3 linked regions of the Mytilus edulis genome follow. The protein of the gene in region 2 purifies or fractionates together with the protein of the main gene of each other region. This does not show direct contact. Links are inferred from orthologs where the notes say so. Each region holds a gene or a part of one and is shown on either strand. Other genes may lie near its edges.

Region 1 (3,766 bases), on a different chromosome or scaffold from region 2:
AGTTTTATTTAGAGTCGATATTCAATAAACTACATAACACAAGCTCTAGTGAGCTTTTCAAATCGACTTAATAACAAAATACAATACACACACACACACACACAATACAATACACACATACAAAAGTCATTAAAACAACACAATTTTAAACATATAATGCATAGTAAAATACCATAAATGACATATATAAGTTAAAAGCATATAGTACACTTAAAACATAGCACAAGTTAATAATAAGATTGCACAAATCATATAATCACACAAAAAATAAAAGTAAAAATAAAACAGGCATAAACACTACAATTATGCATGCACTGCACTGGCATGAGCTGTTACTTGGATCCCATGTTTGTACCAATTTTTTGAATTGGTCCAAAGATGTTTCCATTCGACAATGGTTCGGTAGCTCATTCCAGATTTGTGTAGCATTATAGCGAAACGATCTTAAGCCATACTTAGTAGTTCGAACTCTTGGGAGTACTGCTGTTTCCTGTGATCTTAAATCATACTTGTTAATTTTTATATCAATCAAATCATGAAGGTATGTATATCTAGCTGTTTTTCAACAATGCAGTATAGTATCCCTTAACAATCAGACCCCAGTGTAATTTAAATGATCTTAAATGTTGAATATTTTTCTGGTATGTGGTTTTATATGCCTGACATATTTTCCCTTAAAATATTAATTGATCCATACCAAGAGTTTTTTTTTTTTTTTGTTACAAATAGCAAGGACGTATGTTAGTTATACGTCCTTGCAAATAGCAAGTTTAGAACAATCATATGCGCCCTTTAACAAAGGAAATGATGCAAATACCTTAAAAACGATGCAAATATCTTAAAACATGTTTGACTATGTCATAATGCAGAGGAAAACGTCATAATTAAGACAAAACTGCAAAGTTTGTACTTTTTCTATACCTAAAATATATTTTCAGAATTTAGTATGAAGTTTTTCACAAAGTATCCTAGAGTAGATTGTATCCACCGATAAGTTTTCTTTTTTATAAATGTGCAGTAAAGGGATTAAAATATCCCCAAATTTCACACCCATATAATAGTATAGGCTTTGTTGTAAGGTCAAAATGATGTATTGCATTTTTTAGTAAAATTATACATAAAATATTTCATTAATTTTGCGGATGCACGGTTTCCGTAAAATTTGGGTCTTTCTCCGTATACCGACAATGAATTTATTGTTGCCATCTGGTTTCCTTTTTGTTTCTCCTTTATTGCCTTTGCTCATAGGAAAAAATAATTTAAGCCAGATTGATAAACTATAGGTGGCGTTGTGTTTGACAGGTGTCGATGAAGACGAAGCGATTTGTTGGTCAATATTTACGAAAACAGTAAACAAACTGGTAGCGAATATTTTTAAAGAAATAGGTCAATCCACAAAGTAGTTTGTACACTTGTTCCAATATCTTCTAAAAAAGAAACAGTCCCCCTTGACCCACATTAATTTACACTTGTTAAAAAGTTATATTTTCATATCTGATGATCTTGTCCAATGATGAAAATTTCCAACAGGGATAGGCTGATATACAAATTGTTTTGACATTCATTATACGATTTGGATCTCCTGTAGTTGGTGAATACCAGTATTCATCAATGAGACATCTACCCAATGACAAAAGCAACCAATGTACGTACAGTCTACATCTTGATCGCTTCTCACAACCAAATGAATACAGATGTCCACATTACAAATGTATATGTCAAGCTCTAAATTGTCCCAAGTCTATGAAAGTTACATTGTCGAAATAAGCATCTGGTGCAGGAAAATTTGTACCGTTAATGTTTTTATAAATAAAAGATGACAGAGAAATGAGATATTTAACCAAAGATAATCATTGGTGTTATTAATTTAGATTTCTGATTTATTTTCAGGTACTCAAAGTGTATGTACCACCTGTACACAGATATGCCACTTATTGAAGGGATAGGAGATGAAGTTACTGTTGTTTTTACCATTTTTCTAATATTTCTACTTCTCTGTATTGCATGGTTTTCAACAAATATTCAAGAACTACCTTTCTTTAGTATCATTGTAATAGACTTCACAAGAAGACAGAATAGAAATGCGCAACAGACTAACAGTGTTGAAGCAAGTGATAGTTCTGCTGTAAGTTCTACCTCTAGTGAGGAATCAACAGGGGACACATCCATTCAGGAGGAGACTGACAATGCCAGTAGGTCCTCCTCTGTTGATAGTGTAAACGAACAAGTGACAGGAGCAGTAAGTCAAATTCCAGTTCAAACAGATGATGTATCAAAGACAAAAGACAAAAAAGAATCATCTAACGAAAATGTGATTACAGAAGAATCAGGGGAAGATAGGGTGTTAGAGGACAGAAATGAAGATAGTGATGACTTGCCTACAACAGAAACTGAACTGAGACGTAGAAGGGTTGCATTCTTTTCTGATAAAAATCAAGTTATAGAGACAAAAAAAGAAAATAAAAATCATGAATCAGAGACCATTGTTATAAATGACAGAAACCCATCAAATTCATCAAACAATGAACTTCCATCAAATTTACAAAACAATGAATCCAATAAAACAACTGAGTCTGTTAAAAATGAAACTGAAAATTTGAACAGTGCTGAAATAAATGTTTCCTCTGAATCGGAAACTAATTCTAGTCAGAGTGATAGAGTTCGGATACGACTGAAATACCTAAATGACACTCAGAGAAATGTTGAAGCATCTTTAGAGGATACAATTGAACAGTTTAGAAGGTATGACATATATATAATACACATATTTACACTTGTATGCATATTTGTCTGCCATTACTTTAAATCACACAAGTTGTTGTAAAATATGACATCACAAGTTTTTTAACCAATTTAGATCATAATTAAAAAGTGACTCACTGTTACTTGACATCAAAAGGTTATTTAGAGCAGATCTAAAGTTATTTGTAGATAAAATTCAGCTTAATATCAAAAGTGCAAATATGTTAACACCCTTGTTGCTTACTCTGTTTATAATTTTCAATACATACTTTATATAGTACTGTAATCAACTTTGAAGAACTGAAAATTATCCAAAATAATGTACATGTCACTGTAGAACAGTTTGTATTTCTAATTTATTGAACAATTTAAACTCCAGCTGAATTGTAGTTCTATATAAGACTTTTAGCATAATCATTATGATTGCAAATTTATGAGAGCACTCTCATCAATAGACCAAATGACTCATCAATTAACAAATATAGGTCACTATATGGCCTTCAACAATGAGTAAAACTCATTCCACAGTCAGCTATCACACTTGTAAAGGTTCTCAAATGACAAATGTAAAAAAAAATGAAAAGAGAATACTAATAGCCTAATTCATGTACAAACATGTAACACAGCAACATATAAAACCTCATTCATTACTTCAAATGACAAATGTAAAAAAAAATGAAAAGAGAATACTAACAGCCTAATTCATGTACAAACATGTAACACAGCAACATATAAAACCTCATTCATTACTAACAAATGTACAGATGTCAATAAAAAAATGAAAAAAAACCCAAAAAACTCACTCATACATGTAGATGTAACTTTGTTCCTTGTAGGTATTGACAAATATAGTTAGTACCCATGGTAAAACTATCATAGCAATACAATGAAAGTTCAAACTATCAAAATTTTTCAATGCGTAGGTCATGACATTTACAAATTATTTTTCAATTGTATGAACTTACCTTTGTATATATATATATTAATTTGTATTAATTTTATAACTTGTTTGGTTCTGTTGCAC
Region 2 (3,766 bases):
GCCATCTTGGATTGTTAATAGCAGAGAACTGAGGTTTAGATTTTCAGTTGAATTAGCAAAATTTGATGAAGGAAAGTAGATACCTAATTTCTCATATGAATTTTGATTTAAAAGAACAAATACATTAACTTTTAACTTATATATATATATATATATATATTAAAATTCCTTCATGAAATAATTTAATAATATGACTTTTTTGTTAACTCCCCTTTTATGACTCAGTTGGAAAATATTTGATGAACATAACATAACATAACACATAACATAACATGATATAACATTACATAACACATAACATAACATAACATAACATAACATAACATAACACAACACAACACAACACAACACATAACACAACACAACACAACACAACACAACACATAACATAACATAACATAACATAACATAACATAACACAACACAACACATAACACAACACAACACAACACAACACAACACAACACATAACATAACATAACATAACATAACATAACACAACACAACACATAACACAACACATAACACAACACAACACAACACAACACAACACAACACAACACAACACAACACATAACATAACATAACATAACATAACATAACATAACATAACATAACATAACACAACACATAACACAACACAACACAACACAACACAACACATAACATAACACAACACAACACAACACAACACATAACATAACATAACATAACATAACATAACATAACATAACATAACATAACATAACATAACATAACATAACGTCATATTTGCAATATTGATTTTATTTTATTAAAAAAAAATTAGTGCTTCATATATATTATGTTTTGGTTATTTTGCAAGATACATGTATATTTTATTTGCTTAAAGTTAATTTTTGGTGCTGCTTTTAATTATTTATTGCATGCTGCATGCCTTGTTTTATTTGTTATTGTATATGTTTTTATATTCGGTGAAAAGCTCATTAGAGCTAATGCTTGAATTGTTTGCCAATATGCCGAATCCAAATAAAGTTTTATTTACTTACTCGGCAACATAGAACTGACACTTTATCTTAAAAATCTGTTATACGCATGTGTAATGGAACGTCAACAAAATTGACTTCCTGTGTTCTAGAAACAGAATGTAAACACATTTTCGACGTTTTAGGTGTTAATACTAGAATTGATATAGTTTTAATGAAATGAAAAGCATTAAGTAAAGTAAAATGAGTTCCACTACACAGACACCAGAAGGAGCGGAAGGTGGGTGTGATGTTCCGCCGAACAAATCTGAGACACCTGAAAACGAAGACTCCACATTTTATGAATGTAACATTTGTCTTGACACTGCCAAAGATGCTGTTGTCAGCATGTGTGGTCATTTGTTTTGGTAAGTATATTATTCCACTGTATATTGTTTATAGGCCTAGTGCAAAATAAAGAAAAGTCAAACATATCTGATGTCACTCAAGAGTCGAGTTGATATATATTTTGTAATTGGTTATCCAGATCAAGGAGTGGGGATACATTTTATATCAGCCTTCTGATGGTTCTTATTGGCAGTCACTCTTGTATGATTTTAAGAAGGCATTCACAGTACCTGTTCATTCATAGTCACTATTTCATAATGTTTGAAACAGCTTCACCTTTCCTGGTAGATATATATTAATATAATTATTTTCTGTGACTGTATCTAACATTCATTTGTAGGATCCTTTACTATAGATAATTTAGCTGATCTGTAACAATAACATCTTCATGCCTTATATATCATGTACTGCAGTACGCCGCTAGATTAAAACTGACGTGGAAAGGTAACACACGGCCAGCAAAAGCTCTTTTTTAGAGAGCCCAGTTGGTCGTGTGGTCTAGCGGGACGGCTGCAGTGCAGGCGATTTGGTGTCACGATATCACAGTAGCATGGGTTCGAATCCCGGCGAGGGAAGAACCAAACATTTGCGAAAGCAAATTTATAGATCTAACATTGTTGGGTTGATGTTGAGACGAGTTGTATATATATATATATATATATATATATATAACCATATGCAAGTTGAGTACATTTTGTACTTACTCCTTAAACTCAGGTGTTAGAGCTGTGGCTTAGTGTGCTACGTTTTGTACATGTAGGTGATCCAGAGTTGAATCCTGAATACAGTTATGAAATTTTGAAGACTTATCTTTATGATCCTACTCCAGTTTCAAAATAATTAAATTGGCACCAAATATAAACTTATTTAAAAAATAATCCAAAACCCATTTGGGAGGTTAACTCTTAGGGGTTATAAATGTGCATTTTAATCCATTATCCACATTTAAAACATTCAAAAATCACATTAACAGTTGGTGATCTTTAATATAGATGAAGCTGTAACTGTATACAGTTGTACATTGTATATCATCATCAGAAGAAGACATTCATTAGTCATGATAATATTTATTCATTTTTTCACAGTCAATGATTTTTATTACATTTGTACTGTACTTTTACTACAACAGTACAACACATACATTTTGTACTTGTTTCATCAATTTACATTATACATGTTATGCATTTATATGAGACAAACTTATTAAATGACCAAGTCACTGACAGACATGCACACTGTACATGTACATAATGTACATGATTTATATATGTACATGTATGTTATTGTTAACTATTTTCCTTATTACATGTATTACATTAATTTTAATTCAAGTGACGTCCATATGTACATAGCACACAAGTTTTAGGAAGTTCTTCACTCTTACATGTTGTACCTAGGAGTCTACTCCCTAATTGGGAGGAGAAGAAGAAACAGACTAACCATATTTTTTTTTGTGTATTTATTTAATTTTTTTTGGGTAAAAACTTGTCTTGCATATATATGCATGCATTAATATTATATTTTAAATATTACTGGTACAGTGTTCACGGAAGTAGTCAACTTATTGTCACTCAGAAAAGAATCATGCAGTGTCAAATAGCTAGATATGATATAATTCAACCATATCTCTATCTTAAATCAATACATTTTCAGCTGGCCATGTCTGCATCAGTGGTTAGAAACAAGACCTAACAGAAAACTGTGTCCAGTTTGTAAAGCTGGAATAGATAAAGATAAAGTAATACCTATTTATGGCAGAGGGTCAACCGATAAAACTGACCCAAGGTATGTGAAGCAGTGAATTATAGAACATGTAGAATAATCATGATAATAATGTAATATACCTTGCAAAAAAGTCACCTGTAAAATTTTAAAATCAAAGCATACATTTTTGGCGTTAATATTGAGTCACTGATAAGGTCTTTGCATCGGAACTAAACACATTTATTCTAAAAACAGTTGTTGGCATGACACGGGTTATGTTCTTCTCATATATGTTATGATGGTATGATACTAAACCCCTAACGGGAAGGATTGTGCCTGATGTTCATATGATGAAATCATAATCTTTCAGTCAGTTTAGTTGAAGTCTGGAGCTGGCATGTCAGTTAACTGCTAGTAGTCTGTTGTTATTTATGTATTATTGTCATTTTGTTTATTTTCTTTGGTTACATCTTCTGACATCAGACTCGGATTTCTCTTGAACTGAATTTTAATGTGCGTATTGTTATGCGTTTACTTTACTACATTGGTTAGAGGTATAGGGGGAGGGTTGAGATCTCACAAACATGTTTAACCCCGCCGCATTTTTGCGCCTGTCCCAAGTCAGGAGCCTCTGGCCTTTGTTAGTCTTGTATTATTTTAATTTTAGTTTCTTGTGTACAATTTGGAAATTAGTATGGCGTTCATTATCA
Region 3 (3,766 bases), on a different chromosome or scaffold from region 2:
TGGCCATGTGTCTGATTAGACACATTTTGAACTACAGTTGTGATACCAAACAGGAACTCATACATTGTGGTTAGATTAATTTACTATTTGAAAAGATACAATATGTAAATCATAGTTTTAAAGAAGTCAAATGGTGTAATCATTTCTGGTCATGAATCTTTCAACATTGTCCTCTAAGGATTTCTCATAGGAAGGTATTTAAATGCAATGCCATCCTTAAGTTGAGATTAATTCTACGGAACGATTTGGGAATTGAGATAAACAGACAATAATATGAATTGAAAAACTGCAAAAGTAAGAGCTATTCAGATGTATAAAAGGTCTTTGTGACTGACTAATTAAGTAATCTGAATTGATTTGAGTAGTCAGTTTTCCTACTGATCAGGGTCAGTGCTTCTCTCCGGGCTTCCTTCTGCCAATGAACAAAAAAAAATGATCGCCAATCTTTGCTCCGACTAAGCTAGTGGATAAGCGGAAAAGCAGCGAACACAAATTCCAAAGTCTTTTGTTTGACGCAGCCGGGATCGAACGCACAACATGGGCTTTATTGTGCACAATCTCCAGAATTAGATAGATGACAATACAATTTCAAATTTTCTATCTGAGTTTATATAACGTAACGAAACTATAAAATACAATGTCTTGAAAATTTGTGGTTATATTTATTGCACATTTCCTTCCTAAATTTTGCAGTGTTCGATTTATTAAAAAAAATTATTACATTGGTTGCAATGAATTACATTGATTTTCCAGTTAAATAAAAACCGATAATTTCACATGTGAAATAAACGTGGTTATTTCACTCTCTGACGTCATACAACTATAGGCGTTGTCAAGACGTCGATAACGGCGGATCAAAACAAATTGTGAATGCGTAGAAAAAAGATATAGTTCCTTACATGTTTTATATTAATTTCGTTAAAAAAGCCATTTGCCAATGTAATAAAAAGAATAACTAATTAAAGAATTCAAATATCGAAAAATATTCAACTCGTGACCGAACAACACTGATAATTAACTCATGCGCTACGCGCATTCGTGAATTAATGTGTTGTTCGGTCACTCGTTGAATATTTTTCTCTATTTGAATTCTTCCATTAGTTATTCTATAATTATCTCACTGAGTGTCTCATAGAAAAAGAGAAATAACTCAATTTTACTGAATGTAAGAAATATACGTCTTTGTGATAAATTACTTATTCGGTAAAAATGTTTTGTTTCCTCGAAGGACGATAGCTGAGCTAAGAAATCTTTTAAATTGAGGGATTTCCACCGAAAAATCTGAGTCTTTTTCCATGTTTTCTTTAATATTCTTTTTCAAAGTTACTAGCTTTTGTACTTTATCTCATATTCCCTCAACATGCTCAATATCACAGGAATTAATATATTCGTAATGTTGACCGTTAAATGAAGACGAGAGCTCTAATAGATATTGTTAAAAATATATTTCATATCTTACGTAAAAATATTTCAACATAATCGAGCTTCCTTAAACAGGAAAAGGAAACCCGGATTTAGGTCAACATTTACCAGACTTTTTTTTAAACTAAAATTTTCTTTGTTGACAGTACGTCGTTAATGTTGAAAAATCACAATGTTCTCTCTTATGTCAGCTATTAAGATTATATTTTTCATGTGTTTTGTTGTATTTTGTGTGCAATATTGGATGCAGAACAAAACATTTCTTACTGATCATAAAGAGATTGCAGAAATAGCTCGAAAACATACAGGTAAGTAAAGTGTGTAAAATAAGGTTAATAAATAGGACGTTATATATAAATTATATATGTTACAGGGAATTTGTAAAATCAGTGAATCAGTGATTTTGTAAAATCCCTAACAGTTTCAGTGGTTTTGTAAAATCCCTGAAATTGTTAGGGATTTTACAAAATCACTGAAAATAGAGCAAGAGATTTTGTAAAATCCCTGATAACAATTAAATATAACTTGCTATTATAAATGTGTTTTTCTTTAAATAAAAATAGACTAATGATCACTAATGATTTTGAAATATATTTCTTTATTAAACACTTAGTCTATGAGCTAGAACTAGTGTATACTGATAAAGACTAAATGGCATGTAAACTTATATTTAGACCACTGTGAATTTACTTATTTTTGCACTAGGCAAGTTAGGGTGACATCTACTTTGATACTATTTCGTCCCTACCGCCATGACCTATTGATATGTGAATTTTCTGAACTATGCTGTACATGTCTTCAAGACATCCATAAATTTTTAAAACATCTTCATCTGATGAATACCGCTTTTACCGAATTTTTCAAATCTCCATATTGGAGAACTTCATACAATATTATTAAACAAAATATTTAATTTATTTGGATTACAAGAGTTGAGAAAGTTTAGAAACTTTGTTATATAGAATACATCTATCTGATATATGATCAAAGTAAGTAAAACTTTTTTTATTTTCTGCTTAGTTAGAACCTATTCATAAACATACAGGTACAAAGCAAAGCATCCTTATTATATTTTCTGTTGTCTTTTTTCTTATTATTTGGTGAATATAACTGTTACATGTATTGTGTAGGCAACTTAATAATACTGACAACACTTATTTTCTTTTTATATGTCAATTTTCATGCAGCAATAAGATGATATGCATGTAATATTTGCCACTGGATCACATACCCTAACCCACTCTTATACCTTACATACATGTATGTTTTTCCTTCTCTAATGCCATGTTTGCTCTTGATTTAAAGACATCTGTGCTTGAGCCAATGTTCTACAGTATGTCAGTTATATAGTGCATGAAAACTGCTCTCTTAATATTAAAATAAAACCTAGATTAACCTCAAACTTATAGAGTATTACTGCAGTATGTTTTTTTTTTCACAGAAATTCTAAATAAAAATGAGTGAATTTATTTTACAAATTGCCTGAATTTAATCAGTGAATCTGTAAAAAAGATTTTAATTATTACAGGGATTTTGTAAAATCACTAGTCAAAATCAGGGATTTTATAAAATCACTAATCAGTTCAGTGATTTTACAAATTCCCTGAAATTTCAGTGATTTTACAAAATCCCTAATTTCACAAATTCCCTGTAACATATATATGTCTGTGCATTGCATATGATAGCATAATGTTTGTTATTGTTTATAATGTTATATGCCCCAATGGGGCCCTAATATGGTGAAAATTATTCTGTTCTAATCTATTCTATGCTAGCATATTCTGTATGTATACCATGTAGCTTCAACAGTCAGGGGACTTACTAAAATAAGTGATTTTTAAATCACTTATATGAGTAGCAAATTCGAGGTTTTGTCACAAATTGGGATTTTGTAGTTTTTTCAAAATTTTAAACACATAGGTTTAAAAAATATCTTTTAATTAGTAAAATTAAAAAAAAAAATGAACTTTTTGCTTCTTTTAAGTAGCAAGGTTTATGCCTTTGATGCTATCATTTAGCTGAAAATTCTATTTTAGTTGAAAAAAATGCTATAATAATGGCTTTACATATGAACTGATACTTTCTTAAAAGATTTTTCCCAGCAGTGGGAGTATTTTTCCTGTGAAGTTCAAGGTTTCATCTTTCAGATTATGTAATAAAATTCTACTGTTTTGCGATAAAAAATTTCACTGTTCAGGGGTGTTGAAATTAGTGGGGTTATTAAAAGAATTATACTTAAAGAAGTGATTTTTGGGAAGGAAATTGAGGTCTGATACTTAAACAAGTGATTTTTATGTCATTATCCTAGACTCAGTACAAGGTCATCACCTGAAATGACCTGGTC

The links.
Region 1: the proteins of E3 ubiquitin-protein ligase RNF185-like (region 2) and transmembrane and ubiquitin-like domain-containing protein 1 purify together in Homo sapiens (affinity purification with western blotting; 3 studies listed by BioGRID and IntAct, with this or other methods). This does not show direct contact. The link is inferred for Mytilus edulis from reciprocal best matches to the Homo sapiens genes RNF185 and TMUB2.
Region 3: the proteins of E3 ubiquitin-protein ligase RNF185-like (region 2) and sigma non-opioid intracellular receptor 1-like purify together in Homo sapiens (affinity purification with mass spectrometry; 3 studies listed by BioGRID and IntAct, with this or other methods). This does not show direct contact. The link is inferred for Mytilus edulis from reciprocal best matches to the Homo sapiens genes RNF185 and SIGMAR1.

What each region holds. Positions count from the first base shown.
Region 1 is NC_092345.1:53,519,949-53,523,714, forward strand, and holds the start of transmembrane and ubiquitin-like domain-containing protein 1, read left to right. Parts: upstream 1-1,210; 5' UTR 1,211-1,330; exon of another isoform or gene 1,331-1,386; intron 1,387-1,890; 5' UTR 1,891-1,903; coding exon 1,904-2,742; intron 2,743-3,766.
Region 2 is NC_092349.1:12,202,554-12,206,319, reverse strand, and holds the start of E3 ubiquitin-protein ligase RNF185-like, read left to right. Parts: upstream 1-1,044; 5' UTR 1,045-1,208; coding exon 1,209-1,372; intron 1,373-3,005; coding exon 3,006-3,137; intron 3,138-3,766. UniProt on the Homo sapiens protein: E3 ubiquitin-protein ligase that regulates selective mitochondrial autophagy by mediating 'Lys-63'-linked polyubiquitination of BNIP1.
Region 3 is NC_092356.1:46,422,192-46,425,957, forward strand, and holds the start of sigma non-opioid intracellular receptor 1-like, read left to right. Parts: upstream 1-1,523; 5' UTR 1,524-1,594; coding exon 1,595-1,730; intron 1,731-3,766. UniProt on the Homo sapiens protein: Functions in lipid transport from the endoplasmic reticulum and is involved in a wide array of cellular functions probably through regulation of the biogenesis of lipid microdomains at the plasma membrane.